Linked DNA regions of Kluyveromyces lactis. The protein of the gene in region 2 binds, or shares a complex with, the protein of the main gene of each other region. Links are inferred from orthologs where the notes say so. Each region holds a gene or a part of one and is shown on either strand. Other genes may lie near its edges. The genes, in order: NUP1, NUP159, POM34, NUP120, NUP133, NDC1 and NIC96.

Region 1 (5,025 bases), on a different chromosome or scaffold from region 2:
TCTATCTTCAACAGACCTAATAGATGACAATAATTCTGTCAAATCACCGTTACGTGCCAAAGTCACAAAAGTTGCCTTAACCTTGGAGCCAGTGTACTTACCGGAATCGACGGTGGTGTACTTCAACCCTGTGTTTGGGTCTACAACAACACGGGAATCACCCTTCATGCGAACGGTCTCGTACTGATTTGCATTCTGCGAAGATGACACACCAGTGCTGTATCCACCATTGTATGAAGCACCTTGGAACAACAAATAGATGGTAATTGCAGCAACGATAATTATCCCAAGGAGACGCGCAGAACGCTCCTTATTGATTCTGGTCTCGCTCATGGCTTATTGAAAGATTACTGAACAGCTTTCTCCCAACCTATTTCCAATTGAAATAAAGAAAAATAGCGGATTTGTTAAGAAGAAATCAACAACGACCAATGTGGTTTCAGGATATTCACGTCAAACGATCAAATAACTTAGTAAAGCACCTAAGGAAACAAAAAACGATACCGAGTTGTTAAAGGTAAAATGCCTTCGTTTGTAATTTTTCAGTTTTCTTCAATTGAACAGTGGATATACGCTATTCTAATATCACATTTTTCTCGAGGCAACCCAGATTCGATCAGGGAATATTGAAAACTACAAAAAAAAAAAAAAAACTATATGATACCATTAGCAGAGCTCAGCCATAAAAATAGCACATTTATGACATTTATGACATTTATCGATCTCCCACTTCATGACTCGTAGTCGAAGGCATCGTGCGATGTTCCACTGCCCATTTTCTTCTAGTGTAATGATTCTTTTCTTTTCGGATTTAGACTTATGTGTTCGTTTCAGTCTTCTGTCCCTTCAAGGTGTTTTTTGGGATTTTCCTTGACCGATATGGCCTCTTCGTTTCGGAATCAAGCGGTCTGTTCTGTGGTGTCGAAGCCTCATAACCACATTCGGTGTTGCACTTTTTACTTGATTTCCTCCATGACGCGTTCTTCAAGGTTTCCCCAAACTAAAAAAAAAAAAACAAGATGGGACGAATGTATGACAGGATGGGGAGAAATCGGTCACGTGATAATCTGAATTTCACAAGAATAGAACACTTGTACTGTTAAGCATGGCATTGATGCACACTACGTTCTATCCTGTGCGTTCTTGCAGTTTAACGTTAAGTTTTTCTTTACTTATATATCAATTTGTTCTTTTCGATCCCTCATGTCACTTTCAGGCCTTATGTATAGAAAAATGAACAAAACTTGAGTTCTATATAAAACTTGAAAGCTAAAATAACGAAAAAGGGTACTTTTGTATTAAGTGGACGGCAAATCTTTAAACTTTCATAATGTAGAATCGTTATAATAAATTTTGGATAATAGTCGAGCCCCATATTGATGTTTTGGAACTAATGCAAATTTATGTCCATCTCCTAGCTAGACTCTCTTATACTGACGCCTTGGTTAGTTTAGGTCAATATGTGTCAAACCGTACAAAGTGATTATAACCCTGTAAGAGGAAAAAAATAACAGCTAGGAATGTTAGGACTTGAAATATCGAATTATCAAATATCGAATAATACCTTTATTAATACGCAAGAAAGTTACAGAAACAGCAGTTTCGAAAGAAATAGGAATCGAAAACTTGAATTGGACTCTGGTTCACTTGCCGCATATCACGGCCACTTTATAGAATAATGTCGGCATCATATCTGGAAAAACCCAAAAGATCGATTTCATCGACTTTGGCATCATTATTTACCAAGCATGACGATACGAATAGCGAAGATCCGAATATAACAAGGTCGCACAATGAAGATATCAGTGATTCAGGATCAGTGGTCATCAAGAGGCAAAAACGTGGCTTCGACGGTTACGAGGAATTGGTTTGGAATAACGAAAAAATCACCGATCACCCGTTAAATCACAATGGCATTGATGATATCAATTATGATGAAAGACCGAATATTTTCTTGTATGAAGGGGATTCTGAACATGGTGTAAGGCCTCCAGTACTAACGATAGAACCGAAACAAAGATTGCGGCTACTAAGGATGCAGCAACTGCGCCGTGCTCGGCAATTCCCACTTTTACAAAGACAATTACAATCAGCAGAGAACGGCCTATATCGCTTAACAGACGGCAAAAATGCTACTATAAAGAATTTACTCGTCAACAAACTACAAAGTGACAAGAAAAATCATAGGGTTTCCGATAACCCAAAGTCCAAGAAGTGGAAAGCTGATTTTCAATACGATTTATCAGAATATGATATCTTGAAAAACGACAAAAAGACGAAACCAGTATCTGCCTCAATGGGGAATTTGGAATCTCCTAAACTACCACATCCATTGCTAAAAAGGAGTACCTCTTCAAAGAAACATGTCAATACTTTTGATCAAACAGGAGTGCCTAGTGGATCTGGCTTAACTGATGTTCAAAGCAGGTTATTACAAGGAAAGACATTGCAAAAAAATCCAAAGATAGCACAAGAAGTAGTTGCACCAACACTATCATTGAAACCTATCGTCAAGGAAAAAATATCAGAAGATAAAGTTTTAAACGCTAACGGCCCAAGTGTTGGATTTGACTTTATGAATAGAGACAGTACTTCTATTTTCCCAGGTAGCACAGATACACCTACCAAACCAACAGTATCCAAAAATATATCTTTTGGAAATACCAAATTGGATTTATTCAACAATGATAAACAGAAATTAACGGCCCCTTCTCAGGATTCTGAAGAGTTACCAAGAAAAAAGAAAGAATTTAGTTCTACTGAGGACACTGTTAAACCATTTCCCTTCACAAGTTCTAAGTCGCTGGAAACATCAACTGAACCATCGAAACCTGCTTTTTCTTTTGATGCGGTAAAAAAAAACAACACAGCTACAGCCAATGGAGGCACAAAAATCTCAGATGGTGCTCCTTCTTTCACCTTTGGTGATTTATCAAAAACCAAGAAAGAGACCAAAAAAGCTGAAACATCCAAAAACCCCTTTGAGAAATCCGCCCCCGAACCTGTTGAAAATCTGGCTAAAGACGGCCTCCCTAAGTTCAGCTTCACTGGTGCGGATACAACTGGGATATCAAATATACCTACATTTAGTTTTGGAAAATCTTCAGAAGGCAAAGAGATAGCTAAACCCGCCCCTTCATTCAGTTTTGGCAGCCAAAAAGATGCAGGCGAACCAACTAATGTCAGTGAAATGTCAAAACCTATGTTTAGCTTCAACAAAGGAAAATCATCTACTCCAGATCTGACCCCATTGAGTACCTCTCAATCAACTAATACACCTAAACCACTATTTCAGTTTGGTTCCAGTGGTAGTACTGAACCTGCCGCAAAGAGACCAGATGGTACAAAAACTGAAGCACCAGTGCTGCCATCATTCAGCTTTGGTGGTAAACCTGTAGGAAATGATTCGTCAAAAAATATTGAGAAGGAAAAAGCTAAACCTTTCAGTTTTGGGCAAGCTTCGAATACATCAGCATTTTCTCTCAACCAACAGCCTTCAGCAGACAACGCGACAGAGAAGCAGGAAGCCAAAAATGCCGTCAGTACTGCTGTAAAACCTGCATTCTCCTTTGGTAGCACCCCAGCAGCCCTACCTTCTGATACAACCCCAAAAGAAGCTGCTGCACCATCATTTTCGTTCGGGACCACAAAGAAACCTGTTCAAGGTGATATGAGTTCGAAACCTGCATTCTCTTTTGGAAGTTCCTCTGCCATCCAGCAGCCCTCAATTGAAAAAGCTTCCAATGCAATTCCTTCGTTTGCAAGTCAGAACACCAGTGGCCAGCCTGTCAGCGGACTCAAATTTGATTTGACAGGGTTTAAAAATAATAATAGACAAACTACTCCGACTCCGTTTTCAGATTCATCAAATGTTGGATCTGCTCGTGGAAGCAACCCTCCTGTCCCATTCTCATTTGATAATGTCGTTCAACCTGGGAATAAGATAAGTGTAACGCAGCCTACTCAAACTACATTTACTTTTGCACAACAAAATCAAAAACCATTTACTTTTACTGGAAGTGGGCCAAGCACTACCAACAGTTCACCTGCATTTGGAACCAGTTCCAATCAGCCTAATGTACCTTTTTCATTCGGCGGAAGCTCAGCTTCTTCCACTCCCCAGGTACCAGCATTGGGTACCGGTTTCGGTAATTCTATGCAGACAAACACATTTAATCCTTCAGCCGCTGCCAATTTTAATTTTGGTGGTCAACCATCTCAAAGTCCTTCTGTAGTATTTGGATCCCAAACCCCGCAACAGAATCCATCGTCCATATTTTCCGCTGGTCAGCAGAATCCAGCGGACATATTCAATGCGCAGGCTTCAACTCCTCAAGGAGGGGCACCATTTCCACCGCAGCGCAAAATTGCTATGCCCGGTAGGAGAAGAAGAAGAGGCTAATAAAGGAAAACAAAGGCTTTGCATCTCAATTGTAACAATTATTGCATGATATCATTCCTTCCGACATCTTTACATTTATGTGTAAGAATGTATCTACTAATGTCATCTTAAAGTTTAGGTAAAAAATTTTGTTTCGAGAGAGTACTCGAATGGAGCTTCGTTAACGGATGAGATGCTCGTAAAATCTTTAAGTGGAACTACATCAACTTATAAATCAAGTCTAACATACTCAATAGCAAGAAATTGAGTGATTTCGCTTGTGGTATCCAAATTGAACCGGCTATTACTTGAAACATAGGCATTTCTGGAAAGTATTGATCAAATTTAGTTACATTGAAACTGCTATGCGTAGCGCAGTTCATGACAGCTTTGCAGGAATTCAATTGAATTATGAGTCACGTGAATATTCGTTTCGCCTAGTCAACTTCATAATACCGTAATGTTGTGAAAATCAACAAAAGCGCATTCTTTAAATATGTAACATGAAAGTGTCAATCACTAAATTAATATCTTCCAGTAAAGTAAAAAACTCCATAACCATGGACATTTCAGAACAAATACTGCCACGCCTTACCCACTTACAAAAATGTGTTCACTCGAAACCTTATAATGTACTTCACGTC
Region 2 (2,958 bases):
AAGAACAAGCAAAAGTGGAGACCAAAGATGGGCAAGAAGAAGAAGAAGAAGAAGAAGAAGAAGAAGAAGAAGAAGAAGAAGAAGAAGAAGAAGAAGAAGAAGAAGAAGAAGAAGGAGAAGAAGAAGAAGAAAAGGAGGAGGGAGAGGAAGAGGAGAAGGAGCAGCAAGCGCAAGATGAAGAACAAGTGAAAGATGATACTAAAGATGTATCAAAGGAGAAAAAGCAAGAAGAAGACAAAGGAAATGATAAGCAGGTCAAAGGTGATCTGCTCACTGAAGGATCTTTCCCATCGGCGGAGAGCACAACCCCTGTTGCTGCGTCTTACGTTACTGAGGAAGATGACACCAGATCGTCTGTTGCTTCTTTTACCGATAGGATAAAGAAAGCGGCTAACCTCTCAACGGAGAATATTGCCAATCCATTCATGAAATCCACAGCAGTTGAAAACAAAGATTCCTCACCTTTTTCGGGCTTCACAAATTCCTTATCCAAAGATACAGGAAAGGCTCCCGCATTTTCCTTTGCCAATCTCAAGAAGGATGGTTCTGAAATTACCTCACCACTGTCTAATGTCAATTCTATTAGCAACGAAAGTGTTATGAGAGAGCCAGAACCAGAATTAAAACAGAAAACTGGTGATGAGCCGGACCCCGAAGTGGCAACTCCCTCTACTAACCTCGCAAGTTCAGAACAGAAAAAGGAAGCACTTTCAAAGGATCAAGAAATTGTACCATCTTCAACTGTCAGTCCAGAATCTGGTAGCGTCTCTTCTTCACCAGTTGTGGTAGATTATCCTCCAGTCAAAATGAGTAAATCATCCGGTACTACTACAAAAGAATATGTTTCACAGCATGTGCAAGCGAGTGTACCTGTAGGAAGCGCTTCCACTCAAAGTCTTACTAAAGAAAGTGCAGACTTTACTTTACAAGCCTTTGAAAATGATGAGCAATATATAGCTGAAAGGTATCTTCCTGAAATGCCTAGTGCTTTCTATTCCACTGCTGAACTTAAAGAATTCAGTACAATATCTTCCGATGAAGTTGTACAGGCCGTTGAAAAAACAAATGCTCAAGTTTTAGCAAACATTCAAGTGTTACGCTCAAATATCGACAACATTGGGAAGTTTATAGGTGACCATTCCCAAAATTTATTCAAACGTACTGAGAAAACTGTCCCAATTGTCTCCTCCTGGAGACTTGGTGAGGCGGCCACTCTTTTGGATATCCTTACTTCCAAGGCTAAACAAAGCTACGAATTGAAACAGTCTTACCAAAGGTTAGCAGATAGTTCTTCTGCGGTAACTAATTTCGACATGCTAATCACGACACTAAAACGCCAATATGACATTCTTGAACTCTCCAACAGGACATCTAATCATTCCAACAGGAAACTTTCTTGGAGTCAGCATCATATCTCAACTATGGTAAAGAGGAAACTTGAAGAAGTCTCCTCGAAACTGGATGAAATTAGAGAATCCATTCAAGTACTAAAGCTTTACAATCTTACAAATACCAAGGAAGCACTGCATGCTGTGCAGCAATTGTCATTAAACGGAGGCATTGGCAGAGAAAACTTGTTAACAGAGATTCAGTCGTTAAGAGAAGAAATTTCTGTGTTAAAATTGTCGGCAGAAAAACCAAACCAACTAGAACCTGAGAATCTATTAATTAACACAGCTTCTACATCGTTGCCCCTTCTCGAAACTACTTTGGAGTTATATACAAGGGCTCAATTAGGAGATTTTTTCTCATCTAAACTGTCTACGTAATGTGTAGAACGAAATGGTCCAGTTGAATACGCTAAATAATTGCTTGCATCCACCTTTTCAAACCTTAATTAAGCCATTATTAAAGCAAGATGTTTCCTGAACTCTTTAATTAGAACATCATTTTCTTGCTTAGTACCAATGGTGATTCTTAAACCACCTGCGCAGCCAGGCTCATTACCTCTATATCTTGTTATAACAGCTGATTCAACGGCAAGCCTTTCATATAGCTTCTTAGTCAAAGCGTTGTCTCCATTGTTGATGTTTAATAAGATGAAATTAGCGTCTAGGCCACCCAATTGGGAAACATATGGAGAAGAAGTCAACTCCTTCAACACTCTCAATTTTTCCTTTTTAACTGTGGCAGCATTCTCTTCCATCAATTTCAAGTTTTTTGGTTGTACTGCTTTCAAAGCAACTTCTGCAGTCGAGCAAGAAATATTATAAGGAGCCTTCATCGAATTCAAGACTCTTGACATAGCTTTAGATGTATACGTAACTCCTAGTCTGATTCCAGCTAGGCCAAATGACTTAGAAAGAGTTTGTAAAACAGCAATATTTTCGTACTTTGTTGCTAGCGGTGCCAAGGACCCCTTATCAGAACCCTCAACAAAATCGATGTATGCTTCATCTACAACAACAAGACCCGTTTGCCATTGTGATAGAATCTTTTCAATACGATTAACATCGATAAAGGTACCAGTTGGATTACCTGGTGAAGTAATGAACACCAACTTGATTGAGGGATCGTTTTGCAAAGTTTCTAAGATCTTTTCCTCATCGATTTGGAATTTGTCTTCTTCAGATAACAATAATGGTACCGTAACGTATTCAACATCGTTAACCTGAGAACAGATGGTATACATTCCATACGTAGCAGGTGCAATTAAGATTTTTTCCTTTGCTGGCACACAGCACGCTCTAATAAGGGCATCGATGCTTTCATCAGATCCAACTCCAAGACATAGGTTGTCAGCATCCAAAGGCTTCAAGTTCTGGTCTTTGAAAATAGAGGTTTTGTTACGGTAATCAGAAAGGAGTTTCTTAAACTCCAATTGATGCGGATCTGGGTAACGATGCAACAGAGAGTCAACATTGTATTCCTGAATGGTAGGTCCGTATGGGTTCTCATTGGCATCTAACAAGATACCTTCTTGGAAATCATCACGAGCGCAGCGATATGGCTCCAAGT
Region 3 (3,848 bases), about 1.1 Mb from region 2:
TATCTGATAGTGGTCTACCAATTTGGGAAAGATTCTTGATATAATTGCCCTCGTAGTTGTAACAGGAGTCTCTGAACAACCTATGATGAATAGTTTTGTCCTTGTCCAATATATCCAACAATGGGTCACCGTAGCGGGACACACTTGCAGTAAACACCACGACTTCGTATAGTTCAGTAATGCGTCTCAAAAATTCGTCGACACCAGGCCTTTTTATCACGTACACATTGTGAACTTGGTTATCGATTTCCACAGGAATAACAAAATCAGCAGTACGTAGATATTTGAAAGAGGAATGGACCAACGTTTCATCCAGGTCTAAGACTAGACATTTCTTACCCTTAAACATATCGGCCTTCGGCAACAACAAGGTATTGCACCCCGGTGCATGGGCCTGATCTGGCTGCAATTGAGACAAATCCAAAGGTTCCCCATCTTCGGGCTCCCCATTTGTCATTTCTACATCGCTAACGCCTTGACTATGAATGCCCTCGGAGTCATCCGCACTACTGGTATGTTCAGTCTCGTGAATCGTGGTCGTGACCTCTGCAGTTGGCTGAGTTGCAGACACTGCGGTGTCTGCAGTTGTGCCAGTACTTGTATCAGATTCAGCGTTATATACCAACAGTGTTTGCTTTTCATCCCCTTTTACATCCACATCGTCATCTTCCTCTCCAACCATGTCAACGTCAACGACATCACTATCAGTATCGTTATTACTAACAGCAGCCGTATTCTTCGACAGCGGACTCTTCTCAACAGGCGCACTTGCAACAGCCGCTACAGTTGAGCTATGCTTGTTCGCCGCATTTTTCTTTTTCAGATGCATCTTGGCTGTAGAATTGGATAACGTAGTATGAATTTCTGATTGTCTTGAATGAGTCGCAGCAACCCCTGGACGTCCACTCTTCTTTGCACTTAGCGTATTCTTGCTCTTACTTTTCTCCGAGCTTGACCCACTAGAACCTTTATTACTATTGTTACTTGACGATGAATTCCTACCCTTCTGTTTCCTAGAGCTATCCGAATCGCTTGAACCACACAATAAAGATGCAATGAATCCCATCACTTTTATTCCTAACAAAATCAACAGCGACCTATAAATAAATCGAGACACTGAGCGAGTGAGAGAAACCAAAAATCACACACTGAGCCCAAAAAAAATGGATAACCGATATTAATCAGATTGGTTTTTCAAACGGATTGATACTGTTATTAATATATGTTCTTTCTTTCTATCTAAGCAAAGAAAGATAGCAAACAAAAAAAACCTAAATACACAAACCAATCAGGCTCCCTGAAACCACTGGCCCCTTGATATAGTACCCGTACACTGACAAATCCCGGTACTTTTCAAGACTTTACTGCCCTTCTGTAAATGGCCTCCAAAAAAAATTAAGTTGCAGTTAAAATAAGAGAGTTAGTCAATGACCAATGTTCTATTCTCAAAATTGTTTAATCTGCAAAAGTTGACTGTTTCTGGTTTTTCCATGCTGAACAGAACATCAAAACTTAAAGAACGAACCAAACGAAGCAAAAAGAATTTTTTCTTTTCCCTGGCACAAGATGGTGCGGGTAACGAGATGTTTTTCACTTGAAAGAGATAGAGGCCGGCTTGAAGATTCACTTCTTAGTTTAACTACTAAAAACACAGCTAGTTCTTCAATGTTAATAAATAAGAATCGTTCAGTTTTTACCTGGATACGGTAAGTTTCATATCCTGATATTAGTGGTGTTTTTACTGTGGTAATTGATCGAGAGTTTACCCCGTAAATACAGGGATCAAGATATATAAAGGAAAAAGGTGAGAGTAGCAATGGATAATGGAATTTCTGCGCCTGGCACACCGGCCAAGACTTTTCAGACTCCCAATAGGCCTTTGAGCCAGCAGCAATTTCAATCCTTAAGGGAAAAAGCTATCAAACAGTCGCCTGCATTGTATAAACACAAGGTATTGAGTGATCCTACCAGCAAGACTGATGTTTCCAAGTCAGATTCTTCCTCTGTGTTTGCTGCATCTGCGTTCTCTGGCAGATTTGACGCGAAACCTTCAGCATCAACTAATACACATACCGCATCCCCTGTTTTTCGAGGAAAAAGTAACCAGGCATATTCTACACAGCAAGATACCGCACCAGTGACAAATTCTGATCTGCTACCGGACGAACCGGTGGGACAGAAACAACAAACGGATTTGAACTTTTCCGAAGATTCCGCATATGATAAATTGACTGATTTCGAAAACCCGGCGTTGGCTGCTTTCACATCTCGTATGGTTAATAAAGAGTTGGAGATGAGAAGGTTGTTGACTAATGTAGTGTTGGCAATGATTTGGAATCTCATATACAAATTCGTGTCATTATTCTTCCAATTCACTAAAAGGGGATCCCAACTTCGAGACGAACTGTATCTTTTCGTATTGAAAAACGTTGTTTATAAGATTAACCCACATGCCAACATCAATTCATTTTGGTTCCAAATGCTTTCTTGGCAATTTGCAACCAGTATATTCCATACTATTGTCATTTTTAACATTGCATCGTGTCTTTGGAACTTGCTGATAAAAGCACAAAATACGGACATATCAGATTTGCATCTAACCGAGAATCAAAAACGCTTGTTAGGGGTTGTGGAAAGCACCCCCGACTATGGTAGATCCTTTGATCCTTCAATTAATATAGGTAACTCTAAAGTGAAATCCTTAAATGAAGCAGAATCAAAATCCAGCCACAAGCCTTTCATATTCAAATCTTTACAGACTCCAATGAAAATGCGTGAGTTGAATACCCTTCAGCAAGCAGAAGTGAAAAAAAATCATGTATCTTTCTCTTTACAACCGAAGAAAGTAAACGCCTTTGGTGTCGATCACATAACAAATGTCTCCAATACTCCTACAACTTTATTCACATCGACACGCTCACAGCCAGACACTCGTCCCGGATATATTCCAAGCAACCGGTATACTTATATGATGGACTCACCAAGTGCGATGAAGAAGCGCTGAAAAGCATGCGTACTTCGGAGAACGATTCTTTTTCTTCTTCTTTTGGTTTCGAACCTCTGATAGCAGTTATGATAAGAATGTTATTACTTACATGGCTACCTACCGCGTATAGTTTATAAAGTTTATAGAAGAGAAATTTACAGCGTTACCAATGGTTTGGGAATAGAAACTTTAGCTTGGCCAAGGCATCTTGAGACATGGCTTCAGGTTTTGTTGAAATGGAGTACTTCATGGCATCCTTTAGACCATCACCGTTGTTCATAAATTCAGGAAGTTGCTTTGCCATTTCTAAAATGACCCGGGATGCCAAATGGTTAGCATTTTTGGCATTGTTCTGTAAATTACGGATAACAGTTTGTACAGACACTGGTTCTTCTTCGTCTCTCCATGCATCATAATCGGTAGACATACAAACCATCTGGTATAGAATTTCACATTCACGAGCCAATTTCGCTTCAGGGATCACACTCATGTTGATGACATCTCCACCCATCAGACGGTACATCTTAGATTCAGCCCTGGTCGAAAATTGGGGACCTTCCATACAGACAACGGTTAGTTCTCTATTGTAGTGCAACAGGCAAGGTTCTTCAGACTCTGGGTTTTCCAGAATATCTTTGAATTGATAAATATACTCAGCAAATGACTTGGAGAATGGTTCACCGAACACAACATGCCCAACTAGGCCTTCATCGTTGAAGTAAGAGGACTCTCTGATCCCCTTGGTTCTATCGATGATTTGTTGAGGCAACACGAAGTCTCTTGGTTTAATTTCCTGTTGTAAAGAACCGACAGCACTGAAGGACAAAATAGCACTGGTTTTCAAGTTCTTCAAGGCAGCAAT
Region 4 (5,091 bases), on a different chromosome or scaffold from region 2:
GGACAGGATCAATTGGGAGTTGGAAAGATGTGAAATGAAATCGAGAATCGCCCAATTGGAAGGTGAGAATAGAGATTTGAAATCTGGATTGGTTAAATTGCAGAACCAATTGAAAGATTCTGGCTGTTCGTCATCGGGGAACCTAAACGAAAACGATGAGACCGGAAAATCCTTGCCGCTAGAATCATGGGAGCAAGAGGAAGAACTGTTACATTCAAAACTATCGGTGCAAGAAAACATTAAAGAAATAGTGTACCTTTTGAAAAGCCCGCCAGTAACAGATCAGTTGGAATCATTGAATGATAAAGATGATTCGGTGAAAAAATTAGAATCCTTGAATTTGTTTAATGTCAACAACTCTAGCATTCTCAAGAATGGTACTGATAATAGAACCGAAGTTAAAAACGAACATAAAATAAGTAATTCGCAAGTTGACGACGGGGATCTTATCATCAATGATAAAGAGGCCAATAGTACCAGCAGTGATGTCCCAAATATCACTCTAAACAGGGATTGGAAAGATGTCATAAATTCACCCCCAGGAGATGACGTTTCTGATGCCGAAACTGTAATAAACACAAGGCGATCAAGATCATCGTCCTTGTTCTCAACACAATCCAATGAGATGCTCAAATTCCATACTTATCGTTTCTTACAGTATCATTTATCTTCAATTAGCAAATTGAAGCTTCTCGGAAACAACATGCTATCTTTTGGCTCAGATGGTTTACTAAAGCACTGGCTCATTGAACCTAGTTTGAACTCTAATGAAAAGGCAACCAAGGCGTTTCACTGTGTGCCTAACCTCTTGGGTATTTTTTGGTTGAATAAAACAAGGTTTATGACTGTGGATGAAACTTCCGTCAAGTTGTGGAACGTAAGCCAGAGCGACCCTGTCATATCTTGGGATGGCCTCAAGGATTTAGAAGGCTTACAATCTGTAGATTTCAAAAATAAATGGCTAATTTTGACTTTCGTTAACGAGATACGGGTCTGGGAAATTAAAATCGATGACTCCAGTATCGTTAAGGTTAATGAATTCGTCATTTCAGTCCCCAATAAGATTCTCAATTGTTTGTTGGGATTAACGGAAAAATCGCTTATAATATTAAATGGTAGTTCAAAACAAAACGTAAAGATTTCTATCTTCGACTTTCAAGGCTCCCTTTTACAACAAATCGATCTTTCTCATTCGCTGACCCAATTCCATCACACAAATAATGAATTAGCATTGAACAGGTCGACATCAAAATTGCTTGTGAGATTCGATACAGAAACTCTGATTTACTCTTTCGATCAGAAGAAGACCATTTTAGTGTCTTCTACCGCAGAATCTGCTATTTCCTCGATTTTCCTCAATGATTTGGAGTACACTGTCACCGCTTTGAAGGATGGTTCAATACTCGTGAAGTCAATCAAAGAAGATGGTAAAGTAATTAGAAAATACAATCATTATGAACACCCTGAGAAGGTTCCCGCTGAAGTGCAACCAATTGCCATTGCATCCACAGTCATAGATGATACCCCTGTAATCGTTTCTGGTGGCTATAACGGTGTGATACGACTAGAAAAAATTATGAGCTTATGAACGCAATGCTATAGTAATCAAAGCTGCCGCTATAATTCAAAGAGAAATATAGGAAAATAATCTATAATGCTCATGTAAAACAGTACAAGACGAACGTCATCGTCTATAGACATGGTATCCCCAGAGTACCTATATAATCCTCCTCACAACATGGAAATTATTGCCCAAGCGACCTTAAAATTCAGTTATAAGTTACCCGGATAATATTGTTTTCATGGTTACAACAACAATGAGAAAAGACATGTTGAAATCAATCTGACATGAAGTGGAATCGGTAAACAGAAGAGAACAGCCACCAGAGAACTTCAATTACAGGCTAAATCGGAACATAAACCTACAACATTACTATTGAACAGCTGAGAGGTAAAGCTGAAACTGCGAAAAATGACCAGCTTTTCTCGTCTGAATACAAATTTACTACAATTAAAATCGAAGCACTCATCAGACAATGCCCAACATTTATACGTCAATGGGAATGTTGGATCATCTACAGAAGAAATAACTTCCGTAGAGTACAGCAAACTGTTGCAACTAAAATTAATTGATGAATCGTTGTCCTTCCAATGGTGTAATAATTACACTGTTTTGAGTATTTACTCCATGAAGGAAACTTTTGCAAGGAAAACCATATATATCCACTTTCCAAAACCTCTTCTGAACAAATGGTTTACTGCAGTCGTATACGAATCTAGTGAAACGACCTCCAACCTATGTTTTGATGTGATTTTAAAGGATGGAATTTTCATCAACCTTTCATTGCCTATCGATTTTATTCTATCGAGAACTCGTCAAAATGAGTATCCTGAGAATTGGTTGAAGGTTTTAAACCCGTATGATTTCTCAGTACGTCCTCCACAGTGTCTATTTCATGTTGATAACACCTTCAGTGTAGTATTTCTAAAAGATGGTGGTCTTTTGGGGTTAAAACGTATTCCGCTCGAAATATTAAACGATTTTGAATTGCAACCTGTCCTATTCAATGATAGTTCATACTTTCAAAGTTTTACAAGAATGTTTTCAAAGTACGATAACCACAACTCTGCAGTGGTATCTGCAGAACTTTTGAATGACAAGTATCTTGTCACATTAACGAATGATGCAACCATTAAAATCTGGGATTTAACCACATATCAACTAAATGCGCATTTCGATCTAAAAGAGAAAAACCAGCAGGTGAATTATGGAGCTGCCGGAAAATACATGATAATTTGTGGATCTCTCCTGTTTGTATACCTACCTGCAGGTAATGGATCGTTCCAAGTCATTCAATTAGAAAATACGCATTCTTCAAGAATCTCCTTCAAACCATTAAACGTTAATATACCTCTCAATCTTTCATCTTATTCAATATGGTCTTTAATTGACATTCAATTAGTAAAATCCTCAATTGTCAAACAATCGGGACTCAACTTGGTTTTATTATGGAAAAGTAACACAGTGACCAAGCTACAACTACTCTCCTTCGAAGACTCTCTGTATAGTAGCTACAAATGGATTGATGGTAACAGCACATACCTCTCTGATTTGCTTGATGACTCAGACCTAATAACAAACGGAAATATGGAAAAGGCTCTCCTCAATCTCAAGTCACACTACTCACAATCAACGTACGATGACGCACAAAAGATACTGAATAAAAATAATGTCATGGTGCAGATAAATGATCCTCATAATCAAGATTATTTGAATAATCTAGAAGCTCTTTTGAAAGAACTTCATAAACAATATCAGGAGCCTTCAACTCTAACTATTCTTGATGATGAGATAATTGTTGTTAACAGCTTACACATGTATCATCATTCCACGTATAAGTTAGACTCACAACTTGAAACAATTTTCTTTAACATTTTTGAGAGAAAGGAACCCTCGTCTCAACTAGAGCTTTTCTTAAATATCCTGCATGGTTTTTCAACAACCATTACATCTGAAACGTTAAATAAGATATCTGAGAAGTTCTTAGACATGGTAAATGGTTCAATAAATCCCTCGTTATCATTGAAAAATAAAATTACCATTGTCTTTCAAGATTGTCTAACAAATGGTTTCCAAAGTGCTAATTTATCAAAATTGTTGGAAAATCTAAATTCTATTGATGTGGTGGAGGTTTTATCCGAATTTATACACTGTGATTTGAAAGTAGGTGCTTTTTCAGTTATTGATTTATTAGATACTGACATTTTCTTATCTGTTTTGTCTATGGAATCCTTGAAGCAGACACTCTCCATTATGGATAAGTTTATCATTGATATATTGTTAGTATTCACTATTGTGGATATCAACTATGAAGTTTTTGCAGAGAAGTTGTCTAAGTTAATTACCTTGCACTTCAATATCTCATTGTGGCTCCAAGTGTATCAAATAGATAAATTATTGGCAATTTCTGAGACCTTCGGTCATGTTACTAAATACAATTATGGTGCACAATTGAAATCTTACAGCGATATAACCGACTTTACTACATTAATGGTTGGTTTTGTCAAGAATTCTCCAACAGCTGAACCTCCAATATTTACAAGAGCCTTTTCCGATTTCATATTGAACGGCGAAGATTTGACTTGTGCAAAGCAATTCCTACACTTTGTTGCTAAGCCTTACCATGTGTCCAAGGATCCAGTAGAAGAACTACTATATGCTCTTTCTTTGTTCAAATGCAATGAATATGATGCATCTATTGAAATATTCTTGGCAAATGACTTCTCTGATGAGCTCTCACTACCTAAATATCTGGAGGTTACTGAAAATCACGTTTGGTACAATCTCCTTCATGCGATCAATACAAAAGATAAACCAGCATACTATTATGAACTTTCAGTTCTATGTTCCAAAGCTTCATCGTATGCTAATGCTTTAAAAACCATCAAAAAATCTATATCACTTGATGGTACAAGAGCAGATCAGTTGATACAATACTTAGATACATTGATAGTATTTGGCGATTATAAAGAAGTCCTGGATGTATTGAGGTTGGAACAAAAAGTCCTTGATATAAGCCTAAGAGAAAAATACTATTATACACTGCTGAGTGATCAAAAGTACAGTGAAATGTTCACTGCAACTTTACTCCAAGAATGCTACAATGCAAACATTTCCAACGGATCCATACTATTATGTGTGAGTGATTATAAAATTATAGCTTCAATTTTATCATCACAAGTTTCTCTCACTGATTGGAACAGCTATAAAAAGTTGTTCTCTTTCAGAATACTAAATCAACATGAAAGGAAAGCGTGCGAGGAACTATATGACTATGTACTCTTCGGATCGAACGACGAGGTTAAAGAAAAGTGCCTACTTCTAATATCCAATGTCTTAAAGACATTTTCAGATGCTAAGGACCAATGGTTCATCAGCTATCCAGGACAAATTATTCATTTACATGAATTGAATGACAAAATGAATAAGTGTTCAAAGTAGATAAACATATATATTGAAAGCTTTGTTTAACCTCTATTCATTGTATTTCCGCTTCCTTTAGGATTGGATTCGGTGAAGTCATCCCATGC
Region 5 (4,974 bases), on a different chromosome or scaffold from region 2:
TGGGACTTGTCTCGATTGTGTTAGTTGCGTAATTGATGACACATTGGTTACCGGTTTCCTCGTTGATTTCTCCAATGATGGATTGTAACATCGTAACGTCCAAATTCGAATTAGCGAAAAGAGCAACCTCTCGTTTGACGTCGCTAGCTAATTTATTAAGATCGGTTAGTCCATGGTACATGCCATCCAGGTATGAGTCAGTGATCAATTTCTCATTGGCCAAGTTGTCGATGATTGGAAGTTCGATACTTTGATGGTAGAACTGCTGCTTGAAAAAGACCCTTAAAGTTTGTCTAACCGCATTTTCATCGGATAAGAGACACCTTCTCCAGATCTGGTACTCGCAGTACTTTTTTACTTCAGTGGGTAACGTGTGATCAATGGCAAGGATACTCAATGCAAATCCATAAGAAGTATCTTGATTTAATAGTGTGAATAATTCTATCATATGCGGCACTGAGAGAGATTCTCTCCTCTTCACAGCATCGCTCAAATATTTGAACAAAGTTCGATAGGTGGTAAAGTCTTTGAATAGTGGGTTGAGAGTTGATTCTTGTAGTTCTTGGGATAGAAGAATTTGCCCATCGATGAGATCTAATTCGGTTTGAATTTCGTTTAGCTTTTCAAGATCTTGAACTTCCGCGGCAAGAGCTGTTAATTTGGCAATACTCAATTGTGCCTGTCTTTGTTTCAAATCTTGACCCAGCGATTGAGTTCCAGTAGAAATACTCAACAAAGTTGTAGTTGCTTCGTCGTATTTATGGCAATATATGTTTCCAATCCATTTAACTTTGCCATACTCGGGACATTCTCCTAAGAACTGGTCCAAATATTCTGAATGGGTTTCACCAAACGATTCGTAAAGATCATCCCATAGCCCTTCCTTGATATAGTAGGAAAATAAGGATTTTGCAAAGTCGTATCCGTATTTCTGGAAGAATTCATCGTATAGAGAGAATGCGGTAATTTTTGGCAGAGATTGCAAAGTTTCAACTAAGCCTTCAAAGTCTTGGTAAAAATCTGTGATTAGAATTGAATCCTGAGACCTGTTAACATCCCTAAGGACCCTATTCCAAAGTAAATGATTTTCTTCGAAAAACTGTTTATAACTAGAATCAGTAATGGCATTTGCATCAATCCACATGGTTATTTGCCTGACCATATAAAATAGAGACTTAACCAATAGCAGTAATTCCTCTACAAATTCTGACACAACGGCAAGATCTTCAGAGGCATGCCTTAACAAGAAGAAGATGTCATTAAGATTTTCTATTATGCTATTTGTTGTGAACCAAGGGATATTTTTTGATACATCATCTGGGCTCATCTGGAAAAGTCCATACCTGTAGCTGTTTTCACATTCTTCTAATATGGAATGATAAACTAGTTGATTTATAAGCTTTGCGATCTGAGATTTTAACATAGTTTCATTTGTGGATTTCATTAGGTCTTTCAAATGCTTCAAAAAGGCGCCCAATAATTCTGGAATCTTAACAATGCCGTCTGAGATAAAATCAGAATCCGATTGATAGGAACTTTCTGATAGTACTGTCTTCCAAGCTTGTGAAATAGATGTTGGTTGTTGCGGTAGTAAAGAGTACAAGCTTTCCAAACATTTTATCATTTCAAAATCAGAAATCAAGTCCAGTTTGAATTGGGAAGATGTTTGATCCAAAAAATTATGAGCAACAAATGTGAGAAGTCTTTCAAAAAGTTCGCTTCTTATTTTTAAGTGTTTCATGGGGTTGTTAGCAACAGGCGGTATGTGGTTTGATAATGCATATTTAATCTCATCACTGGACATTTGAATATCTGTTTCAATTTCTTGTGGTTGTAGATCTAGATTGTCAGGTAAGTTGAAGTCTAGTAATGAATCCGTTGATTGTCCTCCAAAATAGACGTATTGATCCACATGAGACTTTATGAATCTAATTTCTTGGAAGTCAGAGTTTTCGTATTTTTCAAAAGTCTCCAACTTTAACGCACATGTTCTTCCATCAGTAATGTATAAGGAACTTGAATTACAATCGTACCCAAGAACTTTCATATCTTTGTTAAACCGTATAATGTCCTCCCATTTCCTTTTAAATGGATAATTAGAGTCCAATTTGGAACTTGTTTGAGTTAGGACAGCAGCATCAGAGAATAAAGTGTAAACAGACGTTATCGGTAAATGTTCCTTGGTGTATGCAGTTGGGACTATAAGTCTTGGGGCAAATTCATCTGATAATGGTCGCGTGTATGTGTTTAATCTGTAAGTAGAGAAGATAGCGAAACTGTTAGTATCTTCATCCACAATGATGGTTGATAGTAAATAGTGCGTTTCGTTACTTTCCGCTAAGAAACTCAAGAACAAGTATGCATCCGAGTCTCCTGATAAAGGATGACAATCGAGTAGTTTCAGTGTAGATGTTGCCAAGGGGAAATGCTCTAAGACTGCCTGTGAAATTTCAGACTGTACATTTAAATCGATCTTTTTGTAACAATTCCCAACAGATGAAAGGTTCCACACCTGATATCGCCCGCCCTGGGTTAAAATAGAAACTATTCTTTCTCCTTTACCGCTGATTTCGCCCAATTTGAGAGATACCACTCTCTTTGATTTGGACATGGATGAAAAGATTCCGACTTGACATTTTATTATGGTTTGTTTTAGCGATACAAAAGGTTTCCCGTTAGCATCTCTTATAGTACAAAACTCAACACGCCCGTAATTTGTCGAAAGTAATATTCCAGCTGGTTCTGCATTAATCAAATTCTCTACATATTCACCGTCACGTAGTTTTAAAACTGATTTATGACGTTTGGTTTGCGTCAAGAAACTTGCCACTTGACTCACAGTATCAACATCTTCATAGAATTGAATGTCACCGGATCTACTGTTCACTAAAAATAAGCCAGGGCTTGATTTCAAGTCACGTTCGAGCACACTAGGCCACGTAAAGCAACATAATGGAGGACGGGACCATGATTCATATTCCTCGTCATGTAATGGAATCCTTACAAAACTAGGGTGTGTTTCAGAAGATAAAAATGGCCAAACGTAAACATTATCAGTATCGCAGCATAAGGCGTACCCAGATTTTGCATCAACGCTACAACATAATTCCACATTACTGGGCAAAAAACTTAAACTTGGCGCTAACTTCGATACCTTATACTTCCCATTCTCTGTGATAACTTGTTCATTCGAAAATTGTACATTGGTGACAGCAGAACCAGTTGTCGTTTCCTCAGCAGAGATTACTGAATCCTCTGGTGCTGCTGCTGGTACACTAAGCTCTTTCCTGAGCTGAAACAATTGCTTCATCTTGTACTATCTTGACACTGAAAAAAAAAGCCAAAAGAATCACCAAATGTAAAACTTTGAAATTCTAATCTCAATTGATCCACTACCTTGTTAGCCGAACCTAGCTTGACCTTGCATTGCTGTAATTATAAAGGTAAATAGACTCTCTGATGCTCATTGTTTAAAATCTTGGTCAATGTTTCTGTTTTCATTGTCGCCAAAGAAATCGTCATAAGTGATGTCACGTGAAACATTTTCCGCCACGTGACTTTGGAATAGTTTCTTTTCACTTATCAAGTAACTTGGAAAATTAAATCTTTAAACTGGAACAAATCGATGCGATGAGCTAAATGCGATGAGCTAAGTTACAGTCTACATAGTTCATCTTTTGGCTCAGATTTCTATCCTATAAGGTGTAATTGTTGTGATTTGTATCAAGACACCGTAAACACCAGGATGATCAGAACAGTAAAGCCTAAGAATGCCCGTGCTAAAAGGGCTTTGGATAAAAAAGAAGCAAAATTGGTTGAGAATGTAAAGCAAGCTTTATTCATTCCTGGTCAAACTTCTACCAAGTTGTTGCATGATTCAATGGTTGATTTGAGTGCGTTGAAGAAGCCTGATATCAAGAGATTCTCCAAGAAGAACAACATCAGACCTTTTGAAGATTATGAACCATTAGAGTTTTTATCTGAAAAGAATGATACATCGCTTATGGTGTTGAGCACACATTCTAAGAAGAGAAGAAACAATTTGACTTTTATTCGTACGTTTGGGTATAAGATCTATGATATTATCGAGTTGCAGATTGCAGAAAACTATAAACTTTTGTCTGATTTCAGAAAACAAACTTTTAACGTTGGGTTAAAGCCAATGTTCAGTTTCCAAGGTGCAGCCTTTGAACAACATCCAGTTTACCAGCATATCAAATCATTGTTCCTTGACTTTTTCAGAGGTCAGAATACCACTTTGCAAGATGTTGCAGGTTTGCAACATATCATTTCTATCACTGTCCAAGGTGATTTCCAAGACGGTGAACCATTACCAAATGTTCTATTCAGAGTGTATCACTTGAAGACTTACAAGTCCGAACAAGGTGGTAAGAAGTTACCTAGAGTGGAATTGGAAGAGATTGGTCCAAGATTCGATTTCAAGATCGGAAGAATTCACACTCCATCTCCAGAAATGGTCAAGGAAGCCCATAAGAAACCTAGACAATTGGAAGTCAGAGTTGCTAAGAACGTTGAGATCGATACTATGGGTGATAAGATCGGTAGAGTGCATGTGGGTAAGCAAGATTTGGGTCAATTGCAAACTAGAAAGATGAAGGGTTTGAAGGCTAAATACGATCAAGTGGATTCGGATATGGAAGAGTACCTAGAAGAAGTTGAAGGCGATCTTGATCAAGAAAATGTCGATGACACTTACGGTGAAGAATTCGTAACGGCAACAGATATCGATGCTCCACCTGCTAAGAAGCAAAAGAAATAAATTCCATTGACAATAAAAACTGACTGTATAATATAATTCATATACATATCTAATCATATACATACACATTCGCATATATATGAGATAAAGGTGAAATAGAGTATAATTCTTTTTTTTTTTTTGATCGATCCACTGCCTTAATTCGTGGAGGCTGAACGGTTTTGCAATTTTTGTTTGTTCTCTACTAATCTGAG
Region 6 (4,382 bases), on a different chromosome or scaffold from region 2:
GTCCTGCTGTTGATTGCTAGTTTCTTCATTCGGTGATGCGGATGCTGTTACTGCTTGTGCTTTTGGTGCTCTTTTCTGTGTTGTATGATTATTTGACCGGTACGTTTGCTGTGCAGGTGCAGAAGGTACGGCATTTCTATCCTCATTTGTTAGGCTTCTTTTCTTCAAAGAAGGTCCCTCAGTATGCGCATCTCCAACCATATTTGATCTTGACATCTCACTTAATTCATCTGCAGGTCTGAAAAGGTTTCCCTCGTCAAAATCTGGGGGATCAAACTTCACTTTATCAATCTTAGCCAAGAAATCCTTATCATAAAGACAATTCCCAAGAGCGTTTCCGAACCCTCTTAACGATCTTTTCAACGCATCTGTCACTGCAGATTTCTTGGCACGCTCGAAAGCGCTGGCTTTCCTCCGTTCATTTTCCACGGTTCCATACCCAATATCCTCTCTGAACGTTCCATCGGCTAACGAAACACGAACAATAGCGGTGCATCCAATACTAAATCGACCTTGCCTTTCGTCAAGGAAATCTATAGTGACATTTTTAACCTCCGTAGACCATCCGTCATACCCAAAAATCTGGTTTGCTAGATTGATTGCTTTCCAGCCTTCGATATATGCTACTCTACTGGATCCAAATCCTACTCTCTTTGAAATATATTCTGGTCCTAGCTTCTTATCTAACTTCGTTTGAATGTCATCTTTACCATTCTTGCCACTTCCTGTATCCTCCATATCTAACAAACTGCAAAAAGGAAAATTGATGCGAGTCGCACTAATATACCAATCCACAAAATCTTCTACCAGTTAAAGACACAAGCAAGGTGGTATCCTGTCCAATTCAACAGCGCAAAATCGTTAACTGTTTGACCTAGTTTGTTTAAGTTTTAGTTTATCAATACAGTAAATTTGAAAAAAGTAAACAGAGCAGTAGCTTAAATCACGTAAACTTGAAAAAGATCTGTTTCTATCGGTATTAAAAGACGCGAGAGCCATGTAAATTGAAAGGAGTTTTGAAAGGATGGCAATGAAACTTAACATTATCATTATAGGATTGGCAGTACCTGTGCTGTCATAGAAGTACTTACATTGGTCATGAAAGTGGCGACGCAAATCATTCTAATATTTTCAGTACTCTATGAGTGACCTTGTATATATTTGTATATATCTTTTGGACAAGAATATCAACTTTTAAGCGTTAAAGTTGACACGAGACCATTGTTACAAGAAAGAGAAAGAGAATATGACACATATTTAGTTGATTTACTTATTTACATGTAACAACTGTTTACGATATCATCAGGTTCGCGTTTAGCGTCTATATGTTGAGACTGACCTCACTGACAAGGAGGTGATTGTCTTTAGTTTCGAGTTACCATGCAAATCAACTATGACATTGGCATAAGAGGGTTACCCGAATATCTAATTTTTTTATGACGCCTGATCTCTAGATCACAACCTGTTAAGAACTTAAAATGCTTGAGATGATATACAAATAAATAATATAAGTAACTCGGAAGGTAATTGATTGTCCTAAAGTCCAATTGACCTTTGTCTGTTTTAAGCATCTAAAATTACTCAGCTTATTGCTATACAGGCTGTACTTTTACCTGTGTTCATCTTTGATTGGTTTGTTTTCATTGATGTCTTACGTGCAGAGTTTAGGACCGGTTGCACCGCAACTGCGTGATTCTCGTTTTACTTACCATCGGATATTCAGTGGGGTATGCAAGAGCAGGTTTAATAATTTCGCCAGGGGTTTACTCTTCAAAACAGCGGTACTTGTCGGTTTAATTACAACCATTACGACACAATGGGAGTTGTCGAAATCTCAGAAATTACTGTTATGGCCAGTAAAAATATTATCTTTCTATGTTGCAATGTTGATGCTAATTATTACCAGGAAAAACTATCTTCATGTCAATTACCTTGGATATACGAGCTGGATAAGCGCATCATATGGCCAATTAGTCTCCCGTAAATGGATCACGTACCTTTTAGTTTACGTTGTGAGCGCATTCTTCCTTTCTTTGACATTTTCCTGTTGCTTTTTCACTCCAGGTACTGGTTCAAGAAAGCATTCACAGCATTACGAATTTTGTTGTCAGTTTATGGTACCTTTTTTGTATTCCATCCAACATGTACTTTTAGATCTTGACAGACTTACTTTCAACTACGGTGCTCAACATCAACATCCTCAGAAGTTTATGGCTTCAAGAATCCATGATTCATTTTTGAAGTGTCTTGTGTTAACTGCAATACTCTTTCTAATTACTCCAATTCTATTAAAGCTTTTATTCGGACATCTAGGCTCTGGTATATGGTCCCATATTAGGATTTGTTGTATATGCTTGTTAATCTTGCAAACATGGGACTTTACAAACATTGGCTTCGACGCCTTTCTATCAATTGGTTGCTTGCATAAAGGTAAACCAATCTCTTCGTTATCTCCAGCTTCAATGGAGACATTGATCACTGGGTTGAGATCAGAAAAATTATTTGTTAAACTTACTGCATTCCAAGAGCTGGCCTACAGAGCCACTTGTGCAAATGTGGAGTTGAGGCTCCCAATTTACCACAATACCTATAGAAATAGCTTGATCTGGCCCGGTATACTTAGAGAATGTATGATTGTTATTCAAGAAACCAACTATAACGTATCCGATTTCTTGCTTACATTGAAGAAAGAGATTGATCCCCAGCCTACAAAACCATCTTTCCCTATCAATAGATCGGTAGATCATTTATTCGGTACCAACCATACTGTCAGAAAACAAAATAATGATGAGGATTCCAGATTACCTGGTGCTCCTCCTACTGAACAAATAAATTCGGATCTACCATCAATGGCTTCACATAGAATCGTTTTAGAGGACAGCAATGTTTTCAAAAACAACGATACCCAAAGAAGTCCGAATCCTCCGAGATTTATCGACTCATACAAACAAGCAATTTTTACCAGACAACCTACAGTACTTTCTGTTTTGACTGATCTTTGGAATTGGATACAGAGAAGAATCAGTCAGTACTTTTTCACCATCGATTCAACTGATAACACGAACAAGAAGCTCTCATTGTTTGAACTTTACCATATATCAAAAGTAAGGGAAGCTGAGAAGTTGTGTCCTGTGCCAGTATGCTATGCCGAGTGTGTGTATTCGATGATGGGTTTTATAGTAAATTCTGTGGATGAAGATCCCAAAGGAGCTGTCGTATCTTCAGTCGGCGAAGTATTAAAAATTTTGGAAAGATCTATTGGCTCTTTAGGTTCGTTTACTGAATTAATATTGGATGGAAAACAAGAAAAGGATTTGAATGATGTCATAAGTGTGTTGTATGACTTATGTATCAATGCATTTTTGGAAATAGTTTTGAAGTATGACACTCTCCTTAACGATGTTTATTTGGACGAAGATGTCGTGAAGTTAACACAGTGGTTGCAAAAAATGTCACAAGATATTTAAACATAGCTTGGCATCAATTGGATTATTCCCAACAGAAGCATGTTACTCTAATAATATTCAAAAGTTATATTGCTTTCATTATAAAAGAGAAGAAATCTACCCCAAACTTCTGGTATGTTATAGGAAGATGTTACATGTACTGAACAAGCGAGCGGAGAATACTTGCTTCTTATTCCAGAAGTCGGAATTATTCATGAAATGTTTTTATTTTCCATTAACCTTCACTAGATCATAATGACCATTGAGGTTAGTATTTGAGTTACAGCAGAACTTTTGTTATAACAAACTTATTTTAGCATTACGTATGAATAAAATACAAACCAAAGCATACAAACGTTATCTTCATTTTTACAAAAAGGTCATTACGTATTTAAAAAGACTTTTTCCATCGGTTTATCAATTCATCGATCCGCACTAGCTTTTCGTGCACAATTAACGTTTCTCGCCAACCGTAAGTCTTATAAATTTAATAGCAACGTCTGTAGTATCTGCTCAAGAAGTGTTGTACTGGGATAACAACAAATGATAATGAGATGTACTACAATACGAAGAATTCGACTAAGTGCCTTACAATGCATGATCTATTTAGTGCTTGCCAGTTTTTTGTTCATAAAAGTATATACACATAAAGTCAACATATTATGCAGTTGTAAAATGTTAGAAATGAATCACAACGTCCGTCGAACTGACATGTCATTTGGGGAGTTTGATGATTTAGTATTTGTTTGAGAAGGTATTGCGGAATTATTGTCCAAAAATACTGGTTTTAGGACCTGCTCATCAAAGTTTGCAAACCATTGATCCTGCTGGAAAATTTTGTCAACGGAGCTTCTTATTTGAGCACCATCAAATGAGAACCTCGGGCCATTTAATTGTTGACTTGGAGTGTCTTCGGGCGATATTATACCTGCAGCG
Region 7 (5,090 bases), on a different chromosome or scaffold from region 2:
CCTAAAAACCTTATCAAGCCAATTGTGCCTGGCACGATTGTACCTAACGGTACCAAAGTGTTGGGTACTAAATATAGAATGGACCCTGTGAAAGGTGCGTTTGCTATCGGAACTTTAATTCGTTGGTTGGATTTCAATGATTGTTGGTTAGCTGCAGAGTGGGGACATCCCTCTGATAATTTAGGTGGTATTCTTGCCGTGGCAGATCATTTAACTAGATTGTCAAAGGCCACCGGAGGTGATGAGGGAAGATTATTCACCGTGAAAGATGTGTTAGAAGCTATGATCAAAGCACATGAGATTCAAGGTATTATTGCCTTGGAGAATTCCTTTAATAAGGTAGGATTGGACCACGTTGTTTTGGTCAAAGTTGCTACCACTGCTGTGGTTTCCAAGATGTTGGGTCTATCAGAAGCTCAGACCACAGAAGCTTTATCTCATGCTTTTGTAGATGGACAAGCTTTAAGAACTTATAGGCATGCTCCAAATACTGGTTCCAGGAAATCTTGGGCTGCCGGTGACGCAGTGGCAAGAGCTGTCAACATTGCATATTTGGTGAAGAATGGAAGTCCAGGTACAATTCCTTCCGTACTAACCGCTAAGACATGGGGTTTTTATGACGTTCTTTTCAAAGGTAAACCATTCACCTTCCAGCAAAGGGACACTTTCGGTTCTTATGTGATGGAAAACGTTCTTTTCAAGATATCGTTCCCAGCAGAATTCCATGCTCAAACGGCAGTGGAAGCAGCTATTAAGGTGAATAAACAGTTGGCAGAGTTGGGCAAAACTTACAAAGACATTAAAAAGGTCAGAATTAGAACTCAAGAAGCCGCTGTGAGAATTATTGACAAGGAGGGTCCATTGTACAATTATGCTGACAGAGATCATTGTATTCAATACATGACTGCTATTCCATTAATTTACGGTAGACTAACGGCTGACGATTACAGTGATGAAGTAGCAAGCAACCCTGAAATTGACGAATTGAGAGCTAAGATGTATTGTACTAAAGATGACCAATTCACTTTGGATTATCATGATCCATCAAAGAGATCAATCCCAAACGCTTTGTTAGTAGAATTGAATGATGGGACTGTCTTAGATGAAGTGGTCGTAGAATATCCAATCGGTCACAGACTAAGAAGAAAGGAAGGTGTCCCACTATTGATGCAGAAATTCTACCACCATTTGCGTGAACATTTCGCCGGCGATATTGAAAAGGTGGAAGCTTTAATGGAAGCAAGTACAGATGACGGTTTCTTAAACTTAACTGTTGATGAATATGTCAACATGTACTGCGATTAAGCTTTGTCCTTCGCACAGCATCATCAACGTATAACGACCACAATCAATTTTTCATTTCATTCAACTCTTTTTTTGAACTAAACGAAGTAAAACCTACATTTCAATGGTAACCAAAACAACATTTTCTATTCTACAAAAACTGACCACAGGAATCAAAAGATTCTGGCAATCATCAATTCCAGATTACAATATATAATTAACTTATTTTCTCTTGAGTTAATACATACATACTTATGTTTTAATATTAATTACTGTCATGATCAATTTCTGGCTGTCCATTTTTTTGTCCCGTCACATGTTCGGGTAACGGTGCAAAACATTGTAGTTAAAAAAAATTAGACAGAAAACAATAAAAGAAAATGTAAACTATCAATACGTTGAATAGATGATGGAAATAATTCATTGAAGATACTTTGAAAATCAATACACATTGTTGCTATCCATCGCATCAAATTATCTTTAACCCGTTCAGATTTTGGAATTGTAAAATCCACACAATCGTGGAACTATGAATATCAACAGTCAAATCAGCAGTGATACAATGCTATCTGCATTTCAAAACGATGCAAAGACTAGTGGCTCCACGTCTAAGAGCTCATCGAAATTATTCAATGAGCTTTTAGAAACGTCAAAGAACTTACCTTCTACTTCATCTGACCTTGGAGCTATCTTATTGAGTGTCAATGAGATGAAAAAGAGGGCACAGGAGATGCGTAAGACAATTCCTCACGATTCCAATCATACAAAAGCTCATTATCTCTTAGCAGGAAGTGGACTTGAATTTCACGAAATTGAGAGTTCCTTGAAGAATCTTAAGTCATCAGAGTTGTTAACCGAACAACGGGTTGCACAAGGCTATAACGATGGTGATTTGGACACTTATTTACATATTAAGAAGGATGAGAATATCCTTTCCTCCATTGAACAATCATTGTCTTTAGCAGCGAAGGATTTTGATAATTTCATTAATCAGAACTTCAACCTAGATTGGAAGCAAAGGAAAGATGAAGTAAGAGAAAGCTTTGGGATCCTAGTCAAGAAACGTCAGGATAGTTCTAACTACGATACGACTAATTTGGCTCCTTTGGATCCCAACGGTCCAATATTTTGGGGGAAACCACCTGGTAGTGGTATCTTGGATGGTGATTTAAATTCAAATGTCAATGGAAATCACATCCTTAGAGAAAAGTTTGAGAAATATGCCAAAATTATTTACAGGTTTAACAATTCAAGACAATCACATAATGACGATTTTCAATTAACCAAAGAGTTCATTGCCATCTTTCAGAATACGACCGACTCGAAGTATAGACAGCTACTTGACGGTTGGGAGATTATAGATAATGCAACAAATCAATCCCCAAATATTGTTGAGTTTTCCAAAAAATACCTAGAAAACCAGTTCTTGAGCTATGTTGACAATTTGTATTCAAAGAATCCAAGCGAAGGTTTACCGACCAATGTTAACAAAATTAGAGCATTTATTGACCTCAAACTGAAGACTGGTGAAAATACTTGGAAATTTAACAATCTTACGATTGTGAATGGAATTCCCGTATGGGCCTTGATTTTTTATTTGCTAAGGGCTGGTTTACCGCAGGACGCGCTAGAAGTAGTTGTTAACAACAAATTGAGTTTCAAAAAAGTGGAGCAATCTTTCCTAACATACTTCAAAGCTTATGTAACGTCTCCTGATCATCGTCTTCCACAGGAATTTGTCTCAAGGTTGCATACAGAATATAACCAGCATATCAAAAACACTTTGGACAGCGATCCGTTCCGTTTGGCGGTCTACAAAATTATTGGCAGATGTGATTTGACAAGGAAGAATATCTCTTCTATTACTCTAAGCGTGGAAGATTGGTTATGGATTCACTTGATGTTAATCAAAGATGATATGGATATGGATGATCCAGTATATGAAAGGTATACCCTCAGCGATTTCCAACATACTGTTGTCTCTTACGGTGAGTACATGTTTAAAAACTATTATCTACAGGCCCTTTTGTTAAGCGGACAATATGAACTAGCAGTACAGTACTCATACAAAATAAATGAAATCGATGCTGTTCACTTGGCAATTGGTCTAGCGGCAAATGGCATGTTACATGTGTCATCTTATAAAAAGGATGAGTTGATCTCCGTGAATGATGGCCAAACAAGGATAAACTTTGTTAAGGTATTAGGAAATTACACAAAGTCGTTCAAGTACTCTGATCCAAGAATAGCTGTCGAATATCTAATTCTCATCGCACTAGTGAATGAGAAAGAGCAGATTGAATGGGCGTATGAGGCACTCAGGGAATTGATCTTGGAAACTAAAGAGTTCACCATACTTCTCGGAAAGATCAACTCTGAAGGAATTAGGATCCCCGGTGTAGTTGAAGAAAGACGCCCATTATTACAGCTTGAGGACCAGAAGGACTTTTTGTATAAGATTACCGAACAGGCTGCTCGTAGGGCTGATGAAGAAAGAAGAATTCATGATAGTTTGTTGTTGTACCAGTTATCAGAAGAATATGACATTGTTATGTCCATTATCAACAAGTTATTGGGAGAACTTCTAAGTAGCACTGACCTCAATCAATCCCTCTTTAGGTTGAATGACAACAGCGAAACGAATTACGTCTTAATGGCAAAGAAGTTAATCGAAGTGTACATCAACAACATCGAAATCTCTAAAAAGGTTCAGGCAAGAAACAAAGAAACATGTATTGTCTTGTTGAAACTAGCTGATATAAGAGCATCATTCCTAGCACGCCAATGGCAAAACACCCTACAACAGATTGAAGATCTCGATTTAATTCCGTTCACGGATGAAAGCTCGACCAGAAAAAGAGCACAAGAATTTACACATTTGGATGAGAATATATTAAAGAACATACCTAACCTGTTGATAATTACAATGCTATGCATTTCTAACATCATAAAGCAGTTGAACGAAAGTGATTACCAATCTTTGACTAAAAAGCAGCAAATCGATTCTCTCAAACGTGTTGCTAAAAATTGTATGATTTATGCTGGTATGATTCAATACAAAATGCCAAGAGAAACTTACAGCATATTAATCAATATAGAAGTTGGTTTGTAGCAGAGCTCTCATTTATGAGCACCTGAGTTATGTCAGAACCCAGACGTCCTACCATAATAGCATACAATAAAATAACCATGTGTAAGTCGATTGTTATTCGATATAATTGCCTGATAGATTATATATGCATATGTATATATATACATTTGAACTGCCAATTACCTTTTCAGCAGTGCATTGTTGTAGTGAGTAGAAGATGCAACGAAATGTACAAGAAGTGAAAGAGTATGCTGATCAAATTCCTAAATCATTGAGCGTCTTTTCTGTTCTTATCTCTATAAGCGCTGTAATCTGGCTGGACTTCGTATGCATTCGGACTTGGTGGACGTTTTTGCTCAAGCTTTTTTCTCCGCCTTTCGAGTCTTGCCTTTCTTCTTTCGTCAAAGCTTTTTCCCTCATCCTCGTCTGAAGAAGACGAAGATGATGAAGACGATGAATCATGTCCATGATTATGATCGTGCTCGCACTCTCCTTCCTCTTCTTCATCACTCTCTAATGGGGTATTAGGATGGAAAATGCAACAAATCTTAGTTTTCTTCTTGTTCATGTTCTCATTATCTATTACTTTCTCATCCCATCTTACTTTAGACTTGGTGTCCTTCTTCTTAGTTTTGTTTTTCTCATTCTGGCCAGCACGCAATTGAAGCAGCTGCGGAACCTCCGTAACAGTGACGGTATGCGTTCCTTCAGGAAG

What was found.
Region 1: NUP159 (region 2) and NUP1 share a complex: the UniProt entries of both Saccharomyces cerevisiae proteins name them as parts of the nuclear pore complex. The link is inferred for Kluyveromyces lactis from reciprocal best matches to the Saccharomyces cerevisiae genes NUP159 and NUP1.
Region 3: NUP159 (region 2) and POM34 share a complex: the UniProt entries of both Saccharomyces cerevisiae proteins name them as parts of the nuclear pore complex. The link is inferred for Kluyveromyces lactis from reciprocal best matches to the Saccharomyces cerevisiae genes NUP159 and POM34.
Region 4: NUP159 (region 2) and NUP120 share a complex: the UniProt entries of both Saccharomyces cerevisiae proteins name them as parts of the nuclear pore complex. The link is inferred for Kluyveromyces lactis from reciprocal best matches to the Saccharomyces cerevisiae genes NUP159 and NUP120.
Region 5: NUP159 (region 2) and NUP133 share a complex: the UniProt entries of both Saccharomyces cerevisiae proteins name them as parts of the nuclear pore complex. The link is inferred for Kluyveromyces lactis from reciprocal best matches to the Saccharomyces cerevisiae genes NUP159 and NUP133.
Region 6: NUP159 (region 2) and NDC1 share a complex: the UniProt entries of both Saccharomyces cerevisiae proteins name them as parts of the nuclear pore complex. The link is inferred for Kluyveromyces lactis from reciprocal best matches to the Saccharomyces cerevisiae genes NUP159 and NDC1.
Region 7: NUP159 (region 2) and NIC96 share a complex: the UniProt entries of both Saccharomyces cerevisiae proteins name them as parts of the nuclear pore complex. The link is inferred for Kluyveromyces lactis from reciprocal best matches to the Saccharomyces cerevisiae genes NUP159 and NIC96.

The regions. Positions count from the first base shown.
Region 1 is NC_006039.1:1,148,033-1,153,057, forward strand, and holds NUP1 (FG-nucleoporin NUP1), read left to right. Parts: upstream 1-1,678; coding exon 1,679-4,402; downstream 4,403-5,025. Other genes in the region: alpha-1,2-mannosyltransferase KTR1, read right to left, coding at 1-333; KLLA0_C13497g (uncharacterized protein), read left to right, coding at 4,885-5,025. UniProt on the Saccharomyces cerevisiae protein: Functions as a component of the nuclear pore complex (NPC).
Region 2 is NC_006042.1:327,641-330,598, reverse strand, and holds the end of NUP159 (FG-nucleoporin NUP159), read left to right. Parts: coding exon 1-1,769; downstream 1,770-2,958. Other genes in the region: HIS5 (histidinol-phosphate transaminase), read right to left, coding at 1,838-2,958. UniProt on the Saccharomyces cerevisiae protein: Functions as a component of the nuclear pore complex (NPC).
Region 3 is NC_006042.1:1,441,739-1,445,586, forward strand, and holds POM34 (Pom34p), read left to right. Parts: upstream 1-1,816; coding exon 1,817-3,004; downstream 3,005-3,848. Other genes in the region: PSR1 (phosphatase), read right to left, coding at 1-1,066; MEU1 (S-methyl-5-thioadenosine phosphorylase), read right to left, coding at 3,150-3,848. UniProt on the Saccharomyces cerevisiae protein: Functions as a component of the nuclear pore complex (NPC).
Region 4 is NC_006039.1:1,080,016-1,085,106, forward strand, and holds NUP120 (Nup120p), read left to right. Parts: upstream 1-1,972; coding exon 1,973-5,002; downstream 5,003-5,091. Other genes in the region: FAR8 (Far8p), read left to right, coding at 1-1,588; TAP42 (Tap42p), read right to left, coding at 5,029-5,091. UniProt on the Saccharomyces cerevisiae protein: Functions as a component of the nuclear pore complex (NPC).
Region 5 is NC_006037.1:702,544-707,517, forward strand, and holds the start of NUP133 (Nup133p), read right to left. Parts: upstream 3,311-4,974; coding exon 1-3,310. Other genes in the region: rRNA-binding ribosome biosynthesis protein RPF2, read left to right, coding at 3,746-4,780; MTD1 (methylenetetrahydrofolate dehydrogenase (NAD(+))), read right to left, coding at 4,918-4,974. UniProt on the Saccharomyces cerevisiae protein: Functions as a component of the nuclear pore complex (NPC).
Region 6 is NC_006038.1:138,769-143,150, reverse strand, and holds NDC1 (Ndc1p), read left to right. Parts: upstream 1-1,646; coding exon 1,647-3,467; downstream 3,468-4,382. Other genes in the region: recombinase RAD52, read right to left, coding at 1-738; bifunctional K:H/Na:H antiporter NHX1, read right to left, coding at 4,136-4,382. UniProt on the Saccharomyces cerevisiae protein: Functions as a component of the nuclear pore complex (NPC) and the spindle pole body (SPB), probably by playing a key role in de novo assembly and insertion of both structures in the nuclear envelope.
Region 7 is NC_006041.1:1,253,519-1,258,608, reverse strand, and holds NIC96 (linker nucleoporin NIC96), read left to right. Parts: upstream 1-1,813; coding exon 1,814-4,396; downstream 4,397-5,090. Other genes in the region: PDH1 (putative 2-methylcitrate dehydratase), read left to right, coding at 1-1,305; type 1 protein phosphatase-activating protein YPI1, read right to left, coding at 4,644-5,090. UniProt on the Saccharomyces cerevisiae protein: Functions as a component of the nuclear pore complex (NPC).